3 linked regions of the Saccharomyces cerevisiae S288C genome follow. Each later gene encodes a partner of the first gene's protein in a complex. Each region holds a gene or a part of one and is shown in the gene's direction. Other genes may lie near its edges.

Region 1 (3,733 bases):
CCTGATTTCCCTGTGTTTGGTGCTGCTGTGACTTACGATGCGAACGGTATGCCACAGCAAGTGGGTGGTGCTTCCAGTCAAATGTATGGTGAACAAGCAGTGTATCAGCCACAACAACACGTACAGACTGAGGAAAAGCAAAAGAAGAAGAAGAAGGGATTGTTTGGTAGAATGAAGAAGAAATAAGCGCTTGATACCCTTTAGAGACTTTATTTTTTTCTTTTTTATGATAATTTCTGTTTTCCGCTCTTATTTTGGATATTTCATATTTCATATTGTTATTATTACTATTATTATATATACATACACACACATATTTTCAATTTTTTTGTCATATGGAGACGAAAAAATGAAGAATGAAATTAAATTGGTTTATAAAATTATTTCTCCGCCTTTTATTTGCTATTTCTCTGTAGAGCTTCGTCTTCGAGGGTATCAATTTTACGCCTGATCTGCTCCATATTTTCGCGAATTTTAACCTCTTGTTCATCGAATTTTTTATCCAGCTCATTTAAAGCCTTTAGCCAAACTTTTCCTTGTTCTTGGATGCTGGTTATTTGTGAATCCAGCCCTTTCGTGGTTTCGTACACCTCGATCACCCTGTTGTTCATTTTATTGAGACTTTTCATCCTCTCCGCCAACAGTGGTAGTGAATCTTGATATTGCTTGAACATGGAATACATACTATTTATCTCCTTTACTTTGTTTTCGGGCATAACAAGCTTGCTCACGGTGTCATCTTTCAACCTCAAGTCCTGTTGTATTTTCTTGCCTAACAATGAGTTTTCAAATTCCTCGTTCAGTTCTACGAGTCTATCCCGGAACTTTTGCAGCTTTCCTTCCGCCTTATCATCGCCTTGTAAAAGTTGAATACTTCTATATAGTTCATTGACTTTACTATGAACCGATTTCCTATCTTCTTCTGCCTCCAAAGCTTCTGGTATGCCAACAAAACGTTCCATTAGGGATATTTTCTGATCTAACTTTTGCAATCTTTTGATATTACTCGTATCAAGAATTATGTTTGGCAATATGACGGTATCTTGGCCTTCATATGTTTCGAGAAGCTTCTTCCTCAAATTTGTCAATCTACTAGATGATTCCGTCGCCAATTTTGATTGAATTTCGCACAATTCCTTGATTTCAGTTTGCATTTCAGATGTTAAATTTTCTATTTTCAACTCCTCCAATTCTTCTCTTATTCTTTCTAATTTCTGTTGCCGACTTTCATCTTCTTCATCGTTACTCAACTTTCTCGCATCTGCACAGTCTGATTGGTTTTGTCTATGTATCTTGAAAAGCAACTGATCTCGAATAGCCCTTCTCAAACTCTCAACATCTCTCCCTGGTTCAACGATGAGCCCATCTTTTCTTGAAGATGCTTCTTCCTGCTCTTCTTGTTGTCCATCTTCCTTCACTTCATTTTCAAAAATTTCTTGAGATTCCTCATTGTCAATGCCAATCAAGCTATCATAATCCACATTGATGGCAGGATCACTTAAATCTATGACGTTCATCAACCAGTAGATTTCTTTATCTTTCTTAGCCTCATGACTTATCTGCTCTTCTTTTTTTTTTTGAAATGCATTGGCTCCCAAAAAAGTAATAGTACATCTATACTTGTAAACACTATTATTTGTGCTGGAAAGATGGCCCCTCAATTGGAGTCCTAACTTTGATTATACAAAAATGCCACTGAAACGCTCCTTAAAAGAATCAATCGAAAGATTATCTAGTTTTCAATCAAAATATAATATTTTCACTAGTATCAATCCATCTCCTTATTCAATCACAAATAAAAAAGGTACAAAAGAAACATTGACAGGTTGCGTTGCCAGTATCAAGGATAATATAGTTACAAAAGATTTTCCAACCACATGTGCCTCACATATACTTGAGAATTTCAAGTCTCCCTTCGATGCAACAGTAGTGAAACTATTAAAACAGGCAGGAGTGCATATCTTAGGCAAGACAAATTTAGATGAATTTGGAATGGGTTCTGGGGGAGTACATTCAATAAGAGGGCCCGTAATTAACCCTTTATATCCTCATGAGGACAAGAAGATCATGGGAGGTTCATCGTCTGGAGCCGCTGCAAGCGTTGCTTGCGATCTAGTCGATTTTGCCTTGGGAACAGATACTGGTGGCTCCGTTAGGCTCCCCGCATGCTATGGATCTGTTTTAGGATTCAAGCCGTCCTATGGACGGTTGTCAAGATTTGGCGTAATAGCGTATTCTCAATCTTTAGACACTGTTGGCATACTTAGCAAAAAGATAAACGTCTTGCGAAAAGTATTTCATACGCTCGATAAATATGACATGAAAGATCCCACTTCCTTAAGTGTGGAATTGCGTGAATTGATAGAAGGGAATAAAAAGGTTAGGAGACCTTTAAAGGTAGGAATTGTAAAGGAATTTAGCCATGAAAGTATGCCCATTGGGTTCCACAGATTATATTTATCCTTACTAGAAAAGCTGATAAATTTAGGGCTTGAAATATACCCTGTATCCATTCCATCTGTAAAAAACTGTTTACCGATTTATTATACGCTATCACCCGCTGAAGCGGCTTCCAATTTATCAAGGTATGATGGTATCAGATATGGATACAGAGATTCAGAACTCGATATAAAAGACGGTATTTTATTCGCACCTACTAGGTCCAAATTCGGAACAGAAGTTAAGAATAGAATCATTCTAGGTAATTATAATCTTTGTTCAGATGCATTTAAGAACAATTTTATTAAGGCAGAAAAGCTACGAGTTAATTTGATCGATGAATTTGACGGGATCTTCAGATTTCCAAATGTTTTAACTAATTCTAAGGGAAATCCAGACGGCCTAGATCTACTGATAGTTCCCACATCGTCCAAGCTTCCTGGATCCATAAGGGACTTCGAAGAAGAGGAAGCCAAATCTCCGGCTAACTCGTATATAAACGATGTCTTTACTGTCCCAATGTCATTGGCTGGACTACCAAGTTTATCAATGCCTTTAAAAGAGAAGACCCCGATTGGCTTACAGGTAGTAGGTCAATATGGTGATGATTCCACTGTGTTAGATTTTGTCGAGTCAATATCATAAATTTGTGAGGACAACGTTAATCATGTAAATATTATTATTTTTACTTTATACCTATAGAAAGTTCGAAAAAATTAATCTATGATATTCACATACAAAATTTTACCATTATACTGGCAGAACCCTAACTCCCGCTAATTTATCTACTATTGGAGCGATTGCTGGGTGAGAAAGTATGGGACCAATTATGGGCATTGATCTCAAAAATTGTACGATGACGCCAAAAAAATCACCAAAGAGACCTATAATACCTAGAGATTCAATTATAAAGCCCAAAAATGTCCATTTCAACAGTATTAAGAAGGCACCAACTAGGAAAAATAGTGAACCGCGCCTTTTGTTTGGCCTGGTAAAAAAAATATATGTCTTTTGTGAACCGATTATTAAGAATACTCCAATTAAAAACAAAATATTGCCCAAGGCCAATAGGGCACGATCAAAAAAAGTAAATATACCAAACAAAAAGAAGAGAAAACCGCCGAAAGTGAAGGCCACACCAAATTCTAGTGAAAAGTAAGTTGTTAGTAAAAAAGGAACTAACGTCTCTCGGAGAAGCAAAGAGCATCTAAAATATTAAAAACATACTTTGAGCCTCTGTGAGCCACATTTTACGCGATGATGGGTAAGCTAAATGATCACTGGGCTGAACTGT
Region 2 (3,100 bases), on another chromosome or scaffold:
TTTTCAATTTCTTTTCTTCTTCTTCTTCATCCACCTTTCTCTTTTTGTTCTTTGACTTATTGACATCCTTATCAGCTTCTGAAGTTTCAGAATATTTGATACCTTGTGCTTCCAATTCAAGCTCTTTTTGAGCTTGTAGCTCTTCGTCATCGTCATCATCTTCTTCTCCAGCAACAACTTCTTGATCTTCCTCCTCAACTTGATCTTCACTTTCACTTTCACTTTCACTTTCTTCTTCTTCGCCTTCTTCGACAGGAGCAGTTGGATCGTAACCAATAGCATCACCCCATGGGCTTAAGTGAGGTGGAAGAGCCTCCCCTGGAAGATATTTGTTGGCAGGTACCAATTCGCCTTTATTGATACAATCAAATATCCACTGTGGCTGAATATACGTTCTGCCAGCTACCTTGTTTTTCAAAACTGGCCTGTCAACAATTTGATGAGTGACCTTGGACATGTCAATATCCTTCTTATTTTCAATTTGGTCCATAGCAGCTTCACTGATGACATTACCACCACAAGATAAGATCAAGAACTCAAGAATATCGATCGGAACTTCTCTGCTAACGTAAAAAACAAATGCAGAAAACAAAGAAGCAACAGGAGAATCGTACTTACTTGGCTGTATTAAGATGTCACCCTTGTTCTTATTGTTATCCTCGAAAGTATCTAGTTCCGTTTCCTCATTTTGTTCCTTTTCTTGTTCCTTTTCTTGTTTCTTTTCTTGTTCTTCCTCCTTTTCTGTTTCATCAGTATTTGCCTCATCGGCATTCAAGGCAGACTTTAATGTCGATGCGTCCAAACTTTCAACTTTTACGTCTTCCTCAATCTCAGTTGGGTCAAGTTTTAGTAGGCTGTCTTCTTGTCTGGATTCTAGAATATATGATGACAAACCACTTATGATTTTATCCTTTTTAAGATCCAATTTTGGCGGATAAATCAACCCACTATCGGTGTATAACTTATATAGGACGAAATGCAATAGAGTCGAGTAGAATTCTAAGAAGGTCAACATAATTCTGAAATCAACGTCACTGGGGATGTTTTCTGGAAACTTGAATGGAACTAACCATCTAACTTCTTCACCCTTAATATTGGCTTGATAATAAACACCTTTAATGGATACAAACACTTTACGAACCAAGCGTTCCTTGGCAACATAGGCTAACCATTGATTACAGATTTTCTGAGCATCATTGATAATTTTCGAGGAAACCTGGTTGGTAGAGGGCAAATTAGAGAAAAGAAATAACATATTCAAAGCATCATCAATATCCCTTATAGCATCTGGGAAACTTGGATAACGCTCCTTGATAATATGGTCTAAAGTATAACTATCTCTGTTTTCCTCTAACCTTTTAGCAGAAGAGACTTCTCCCCTACCCAAAGCCCTTGTTAGTTTCCTAGCAAAAGTCTTGTGTTCTCTAAATTTAGCCAAAACGGGCTCATGCATTAGATATTGAATATCCTTAGCATAGTAAAAAGTAGTTGGTGCAGTAGAGCCCTTGTTTGCCTTCTTTTTATTTCTTGGCTCTCTAGGATAGATACCTTTGAATATACATAATCTTCTGAAATCAGCAAGAGAAACCTGTAATTTTCTCACAGCTTGAGATCTGGTAATAAAGTTTCTTGCGTTACCTCTGGTGTTTTTCTTCTTGATTCTCATTGTATAAGTAGGATACCGCTGTTACTATACTATTTTCTACAGGAATAAAATGTATTCCACCAGCAGGATTTACTACACATCTCTAATTAACCTTCCAAAATTTTTCATTTTTTCTCATCTCATCTCATCGCAAAAAATTTTCTTTAATTTTTTCAGGCAATAATAATAGTCACCACAGACGACATGACATTATTCTGTAAATATAACATCAAGGAGGTAATAGTGACTAGCATTTAGGCTTTTAGATCGAACTATTTGCACTTACCCATAGTGCTAGAACGATGTACAAAACATGGCGTCTATGCAGAACACATACAGTGGGTGGGTTATGCCATGATGGAAGTCATCGGTTCGTATCTACGGGAGGGGCAAAGATTGGTAAAAAATTTGAAAATATGAATCAAATAAGGGATTATTTATCAAGACCTGTATGGTCCGTCCACGAATATTTAGGCATAAACACTAAAGAGGAAAAACTAGAGCCACCGTCTGCTGAAGCTGTAAAAAAATTGTTGCGGTTATCAGGTCTTCCCTTGGAAGGAGCAGATATTAAAGAAATTCAAATGCGACTTGCCAAGCAATTATCATTCATCAACAAACTCCATAACATACCTGTCGAAGGTGAAAAGCACACCAAGGAATATGATGCTCGGTTGGTGCAAAGAAATACGAAACAGCTGAACTACACAAAGCTACTTGAAGGCATCAGCCACCAAAAGCAGGATGCTGAGCTAGGAGAAGTTAGCGGATCTTGGAAAGCAACTGGACTTGCCGCGGAATCCAAAAATGCATATTTTGTTGTCAAAGAGGGACTACTCAAAAACAGGAAGTAAGACTTAGAAAAGTAACACATACGCTCTATTCTATATATTCTTTTGCCTATGAATTTTCTTGTACATGTACCACCACGATAAGGCTGAAATATTTTTCAAATGCATAAATAAGATTAAGTACATAGAAGACATAGCAGTATTTACAATATTTCGAATGAGAATGTGTCTTTTTTTAAGTGATTAAAACCACCTACCAGCAGCCTGAAGGCGACGCTGCCTTTGTTTCTCTACAGCTTTACTTATATACCATCCGTACAAGACCCCCATCATAGAGCCACCTAAATGCGCAGCGTAATCAAATGACCCCCATCTTAAAGCACAACCAGCTGCATTCCATGCCACTGAAGCCAAGAATGCTACCCAAGCCCCACCTGGGACTGGGAAAACAAACAGCAAAATTTTAGCGTGTGGGAATAGATATGAAAAACATCCTAAAACCCCAAATAGCGCTCCACTGGCACCCAAGCTAGGTCCGACAATGGCTAGGCGTGCCAGTTTTGGATACCATAACGAAAACAAAGAACCTGCAATGGCACTATTCATATATAAGGAGAAAAAATTGGATGCTCCCAACATTGTTGCGAGTGAAGTACCAAAGGAC
Region 3 (4,273 bases), on another chromosome or scaffold:
TTGTTGATGTAGTAATTCTTGTTGGATGACTTCAGGAGTTACAGAACTAGGGGGGAACTTGATCGATTCTAACCTCAAAGCTTCGATGTTAAATCTGCCCATGGAACCATTAAAGTACAAACGCACACCACCTACTGTTAAAGCAACTAAAAACAAATTGTTGTTTTCTTCTGGTGCAACAGAGCTTATCTTGACAATTTTTAGGTATTTGGGGCCCAAAATCGGTGCTGCCCTTGCCGTCGTGGTACCTATGATCCTACTGATGTAGGCAGGCTCAATTGACATGGGTCCTTCCAGTGATTTTTCTGTTATTACGTATGCTCTAATGGTGGATTTGGAGGATAATGAATAGATGATTCCTCTTTGTTGGTCAATAGTTAGTTGCGTGATGGTCTCTTGAGAAAATCCGCCATTACCGTTAGAATTATCTTCGAACAAAGCCTGAATAAAATCAACACCTGGAATCTGCGATAACATGTTAGTAGGTAGAAGACTTAATAGGGCAGACTTTGTCAGACAGACCTTACTACATTTACTATTGAACCAGTCATCGGAACCTGAGTAGTGCAACTCCCAGATATTCAGGCCACTGGCTTGGCCTGCGAAGAAAATTCTACCCGATCTTTCATGAGACACAATGTCTATTACATCAATGCCTTGTACAGGGACTGATAGATGTGTATTGAATACACTGAGTTCGTTGGTGGCTTTGTCTAAGGAAATAGCAAACATGAAAAGCTCCATTGTCGTGCTTATCAAAAGTAGATGCTTCACGGCAGGCACAAAGGTGTTTGGCTTAGGTCTTACCAAGGCGACTTTTTGAATGGTATGCTTCATATCATCTACCACCTGATACTCATTGTCATTGTTAATATTCCAGAGTATCAGTTTATTATCAATAGTTATCCAACATCGATTTAACTCCGGGAAAATACCCATATCAGTTTTTGTCTGTGAAGTGGAAAATTCATGCAAAATCTCGTCCGGAATGTTGAACACATCTTGCTTTTCAAATGGAGTAAACGCTCCTAAGCCGTTTTTTTCTCTGCTGAAGTTATAATCTACCCCGCTGTTATAATAAGATCGTTCGTCGAGTACGGGAGTGTTACTATCTTTATGTTGTAGATGGTCAATGTACTTTCCCGCTAAGTCCAGGGGCTTAGAAGTCCCCATCCCGGAAACACGAATGTGCTCATTCATGTTGGACATATTAGGATTGATGCTGCCAGAGGTCGCCCCCATTGCGCTTGCCCTCATGAGTGGGTTGGACCCGGTAATTGGATATGAGTTTAATATGTGTGTAGGTTGTTGTTGCGCCTTGGTTGCAGATGAGGCCAACTCATTCAGTCCATTCCTGGGTACTTCTTGATGATTCGTTAAAGGGTACGATCTGCTATCTGAAAACGTTTCACCGGCAGCAGCGGGCCCATTGTTGTGGAAAAAACTTTGAAACATGAACAACCGCTAGAAAGAGAAGTAATAAACGCACTCTGCTTTTTTGTCCGCTTGTCAGATCCTAGGTTCCAGTAATTCTCCGAAAGAACTGTTCACTAATATGTTCAGAATTCTACAATATTAATGTCCCATCTCGAAAAATTGTTTTTTTTTTTACAAATAAAGTAACAATCCTTCGTGCAACACGATATAGAGTACATTGAAAGCGTGTCACAAAGAACACATCCATAATCATGGTCCATTGCAAACATTTCAAAGTAAAGAAGAGGATATTTGGGTCTTAGAATCTCATTGGAAACAATCCTCGTTTACTAGAGACGTTAATTCCACTTTCAAAAGCCCTGAAAGATTAACTTTCTGATTTTAGGTTTATTATTTTTTTGTTGTATGCCCTTGTTAAAAATTTAAATAACCCTTGTTTAGATAGGGTTTAGTTTTCCCTTTTGTTATGATAATAGTAGTTATAGTAGTAATAAGCTTGACGTGATGTACTTAGTCGTACCACCTAGTAATAGTGTTATTGTTAGCATTCCTGTCCAAAAAGACCAGAGTAGGAACTAGATATGTTGCGGCTTGCACGTTTTTATTCTTTGGCCAGAACCAAAGCCATACATAGTCACGGTGCACCCTTCAGGCCGGAATATGCATTGAAGTGTGGATTGGAGATTCATACGCAATTGAACACCAAAAACAAGCTTTTTTCACAATCAACGAATAGCGCCACATCTCTAGTGGATGCACCAAACCATCATACTAGTTATTATGACATAGCTCTACCGGGAACGCAGCCGGTTTTGAATCTGGAAGCAATCTTGTTTGCCATGAAACTATCCTTGGCACTGGGTTCTCAAGTGAATAGCATATCTCAGTTTGATAGGAAGCATTATTTTTATGGAGATCAACCTCAAGGCTATCAACTGACGCAGCACTACAGGCCGTTTGCTCGGGGTGGGAAGATCAATCTGTCGAAGGAATTGGATGATATCGATGAATCAGCCAAGGAAATCGGTATCTTACAGTTGCAGATAGAGCAGGACACGGGGAAGTCACACTATACAGAGACAGATAAAGACGTTATTACTTTGGTTGATTTAAATAGGTCGAACGTCCCGCTTATCGAATTGGTAACTAAACCAGATTTCAGTGATATTAAACAGGTTAGAGCGTTTATTAAAAAATATCAGAATTTGGTACGTCATTTGCACATTTCCTCTGGGGACCTGGAAACGGGCGCCATGCGAGTGGACGTTAACCTCTCAATTAATGAATATGCACGCGTTGAGTTGAAGAATTTACCCAATACTAGTTCCATCATCAATGCAATCAAGTACGAATATCAGCGGCAAGTTGAGTTGATTTCTGTGGGTGACACTAGCTCACTGATGGAGCCAGAAACAAGGGGCTGGACAGGCTCATCAACGGTGAAGTTGAGAAGCAAAGAAACCACGATCGATTACAGGTACATGCCTGATCCAGAATTGCCGTATATCAACCTCGCACCAGACGTTATCAGTGGTGTGAGAGGGTTGATGCCCCAATTACCGGACGATATAATGAGAATTCTTATGAAGAAACCCTATCAATTATCATTGAAGGACGCCAAGATTCTGACTTATAATAGTAACCAAAACGATATGTACAATCATGAGGCGTTGAGATCGTACTACTTAGACACCTTCCGTGAATTTTCCAAGCTTGCTGGTGAACGTAGTAACGCGAAATTACCTACGAATTGGATAATCCATGAATTCTTGGGAGATTTGAACAAGCTACAAATTCCATTGGCCAAAGCAAAAGAAATTTTGCCTCCTCCGGTTTTCGCCCAGTTTTTGAAGTTATTGCATGAAGAGGTTATATCCGCAACTAGTGGTAAAATGTTACTGTTTCACATATTGGAAAATTTCGAGCAGAGTAACTGCCAAGATTTGTCTATTCCAGATTTTTCAAAACTAATCGAGAAATTTGAATTGCATGCGATTAATCAGGTCGACCCTCAAGAATTGATGGATCTCTGTAATGATGTCATTGCACAGCACACAGATGACACTTTTATACGGAACCTGGTTACTGGTAAAAAGAAGTCCTCTTTAAAATTCCTAATTGGACAAGGAATGAGACGAAGCCAGGGACGTATAAAGGCAAACGAATTCGAGAAAAAATTCAAAGAGATCTTAAATATTCAATGGTAAAATATAAACGCCGCGTGTAAATAGGAACCGTGCATAAATAATAACAATAATAGTAATACTAATGATAATAATATACATAAAAATATACGTAAACATCTCAACTCCAAACGCTCATGTCAGTATTCCAAATGCCAAAGGGTCTTGATGATGCTGGTTGAGAGGATGAAGATACGTTCATGTGGTTAGACCCCCATCCTAAAGAAGAATCATTCATCAAGAGTGATGCGGACGAAGACATGTTCACTGGTGCCGTCGAAAAATCCTCCCTTTGCGATGGGGATGGTGAATGTTGCGGTGGGTTTATGTTGGTGCCAATAGAGCTAGATGTGGTGGAGGACATGAGCAGGGTTTGGCTTGCTGGTAGGAAAGATACAGTTGGTGGAGAATGTAGATCCGAGATAAGCGAACTGGACGTGGGGCCCACGGGTAAATCATTGATTAAATCGGCGGATGTCGATGTTGCAGTGGTTGGGTTGGTGTGCATAGAGTTGTTTGATGATGACGACGATAAATTTGTGGAAGCTGCCGAAGTTGACGGCAAAATGTATTCGAAGGTGCTTTGGTTGTATGGAGAGGATGAGTTAGAAGTGGAAGAAGTCAACGAGGGAGAGGAGTTCGAGTTGAAGTAC

What was found.
Region 2: the proteins of HER2 (region 1) and GTF1 are in contact, whole or in part, in a crystal structure (PDB 4N0I), measured with the Saccharomyces cerevisiae proteins. Residues at the interface, in NP_014021.1 of Saccharomyces cerevisiae: Phe72 (codon at 1,903), Lys73 (codon at 1,906), Pro75 (codon at 1,912), Lys82 (codon at 1,933), Phe177 (codon at 2,218), Lys212 (codon at 2,323), Ile239 (codon at 2,404), Val240 (codon at 2,407), Lys241 (codon at 2,410), Glu242 (codon at 2,413), Phe243 (codon at 2,416), Ser244 (codon at 2,419), His245 (codon at 2,422), Glu246 (codon at 2,425), Tyr256 (codon at 2,455), Leu257 (codon at 2,458), Leu260 (codon at 2,467), Glu261 (codon at 2,470), Ile264 (codon at 2,479), Glu269 (codon at 2,494), Ile270 (codon at 2,497), Tyr271 (codon at 2,500), Pro272 (codon at 2,503), Val273 (codon at 2,506), Ser274 (codon at 2,509), Ile275 (codon at 2,512), Pro276 (codon at 2,515), Lys279 (codon at 2,524), Asn280 (codon at 2,527), Leu282 (codon at 2,533); in NP_011616.3 of Saccharomyces cerevisiae: Gly29 (codon at 2,032), Ala30 (codon at 2,035), Lys31 (codon at 2,038), Ile32 (codon at 2,041), Gly33 (codon at 2,044), Lys34 (codon at 2,047), Lys35 (codon at 2,050), Phe36 (codon at 2,053), Met39 (codon at 2,062), Ile42 (codon at 2,071), Arg43 (codon at 2,074), Tyr45 (codon at 2,080), Leu46 (codon at 2,083), Arg48 (codon at 2,089), Val50 (codon at 2,095), Trp51 (codon at 2,098), Ser52 (codon at 2,101), Val53 (codon at 2,104), His54 (codon at 2,107), Tyr56 (codon at 2,113), Leu57 (codon at 2,116), Ile59 (codon at 2,122), Lys76 (codon at 2,173), Leu77 (codon at 2,176), Leu78 (codon at 2,179), Arg79 (codon at 2,182), Leu80 (codon at 2,185), Ser81 (codon at 2,188), Gly82 (codon at 2,191), Leu83 (codon at 2,194).
Region 3: the proteins of HER2 (region 1) and PET112 are in contact, whole or in part, in a crystal structure (PDB 4N0H), measured with the Saccharomyces cerevisiae proteins. Residues at the interface, in NP_014021.1 of Saccharomyces cerevisiae: Val56 (codon at 1,855), Leu69 (codon at 1,894), Phe72 (codon at 1,903), Pro75 (codon at 1,912), Phe76 (codon at 1,915), Arg176 (codon at 2,215), Phe177 (codon at 2,218), Gly178 (codon at 2,221), Val179 (codon at 2,224), Ile180 (codon at 2,227), Gln184 (codon at 2,239), Ser185 (codon at 2,242), Met211 (codon at 2,320), Lys212 (codon at 2,323), Asp213 (codon at 2,326), Pro214 (codon at 2,329), Thr215 (codon at 2,332), Ala291 (codon at 2,560), Glu292 (codon at 2,563), Ser295 (codon at 2,572), Asn296 (codon at 2,575), Ser298 (codon at 2,581), Arg299 (codon at 2,584), Tyr300 (codon at 2,587), Arg304 (codon at 2,599), Tyr305 (codon at 2,602), Leu319 (codon at 2,644), Phe320 (codon at 2,647), Arg324 (codon at 2,659), Asn339 (codon at 2,704); in NP_009473.2 of Saccharomyces cerevisiae: Tyr66 (codon at 2,214), Ile69 (codon at 2,223), Ala70 (codon at 2,226), Leu71 (codon at 2,229), Pro72 (codon at 2,232), Gly73 (codon at 2,235), Thr74 (codon at 2,238), Gln75 (codon at 2,241), Pro76 (codon at 2,244), Val77 (codon at 2,247), Arg105 (codon at 2,331), His107 (codon at 2,337), Phe109 (codon at 2,343), Tyr110 (codon at 2,346), Gly111 (codon at 2,349), Pro114 (codon at 2,358), Gln115 (codon at 2,361), Gly116 (codon at 2,364), Tyr117 (codon at 2,367), Tyr123 (codon at 2,385), Leu177 (codon at 2,547), Asp297 (codon at 2,907), Arg299 (codon at 2,913), Tyr300 (codon at 2,916), Met301 (codon at 2,919), Pro302 (codon at 2,922), Pro304 (codon at 2,928), Glu305 (codon at 2,931), Pro307 (codon at 2,937).

Annotation. Positions count from the first base shown.
Region 1 is NC_001145.3:854,750-858,482, reverse strand, and holds HER2 (glutamyl-tRNA(Gln) amidotransferase subunit HER2), read left to right. Parts: upstream 1-1,689; coding exon 1,690-3,084; downstream 3,085-3,733. Other genes in the region: GSR1 (Gsr1p), read left to right, coding at 1-186; JNM1 (Jnm1p), read right to left, coding at 396-1,517; GOT1 (Got1p), read right to left, coding at 3,190-3,584, 3,667-3,688.
Region 2 is NC_001139.9:693,983-697,082, reverse strand, and holds GTF1 (glutamyl-tRNA(Gln) amidotransferase subunit F), read left to right. Parts: upstream 1-1,947; coding exon 1,948-2,499; downstream 2,500-3,100. Other genes in the region: mRNA-binding ribosome synthesis protein NOP7, read right to left, coding at 1-1,666; rhomboid protease PCP1, read right to left, coding at 2,680-3,100. UniProt on the Saccharomyces cerevisiae protein: Allows the formation of correctly charged Gln-tRNA(Gln) through the transamidation of misacylated Glu-tRNA(Gln) in the mitochondria. The reaction takes place in the presence of glutamine and ATP through an activated gamma-phospho-Glu-tRNA(Gln).
Region 3 is NC_001134.8:72,441-76,713, reverse strand, and holds PET112 (glutamyl-tRNA(Gln) amidotransferase subunit PET112), read left to right. Parts: upstream 1-2,018; coding exon 2,019-3,644; downstream 3,645-4,273. Other genes in the region: NUP170 (Nup170p), read right to left, coding at 1-1,455; YBL081W (uncharacterized protein), read right to left, coding at 3,742-4,273. UniProt on the Saccharomyces cerevisiae protein: Allows the formation of correctly charged Gln-tRNA(Gln) through the transamidation of misacylated Glu-tRNA(Gln) in the mitochondria. The reaction takes place in the presence of glutamine and ATP through an activated gamma-phospho-Glu-tRNA(Gln).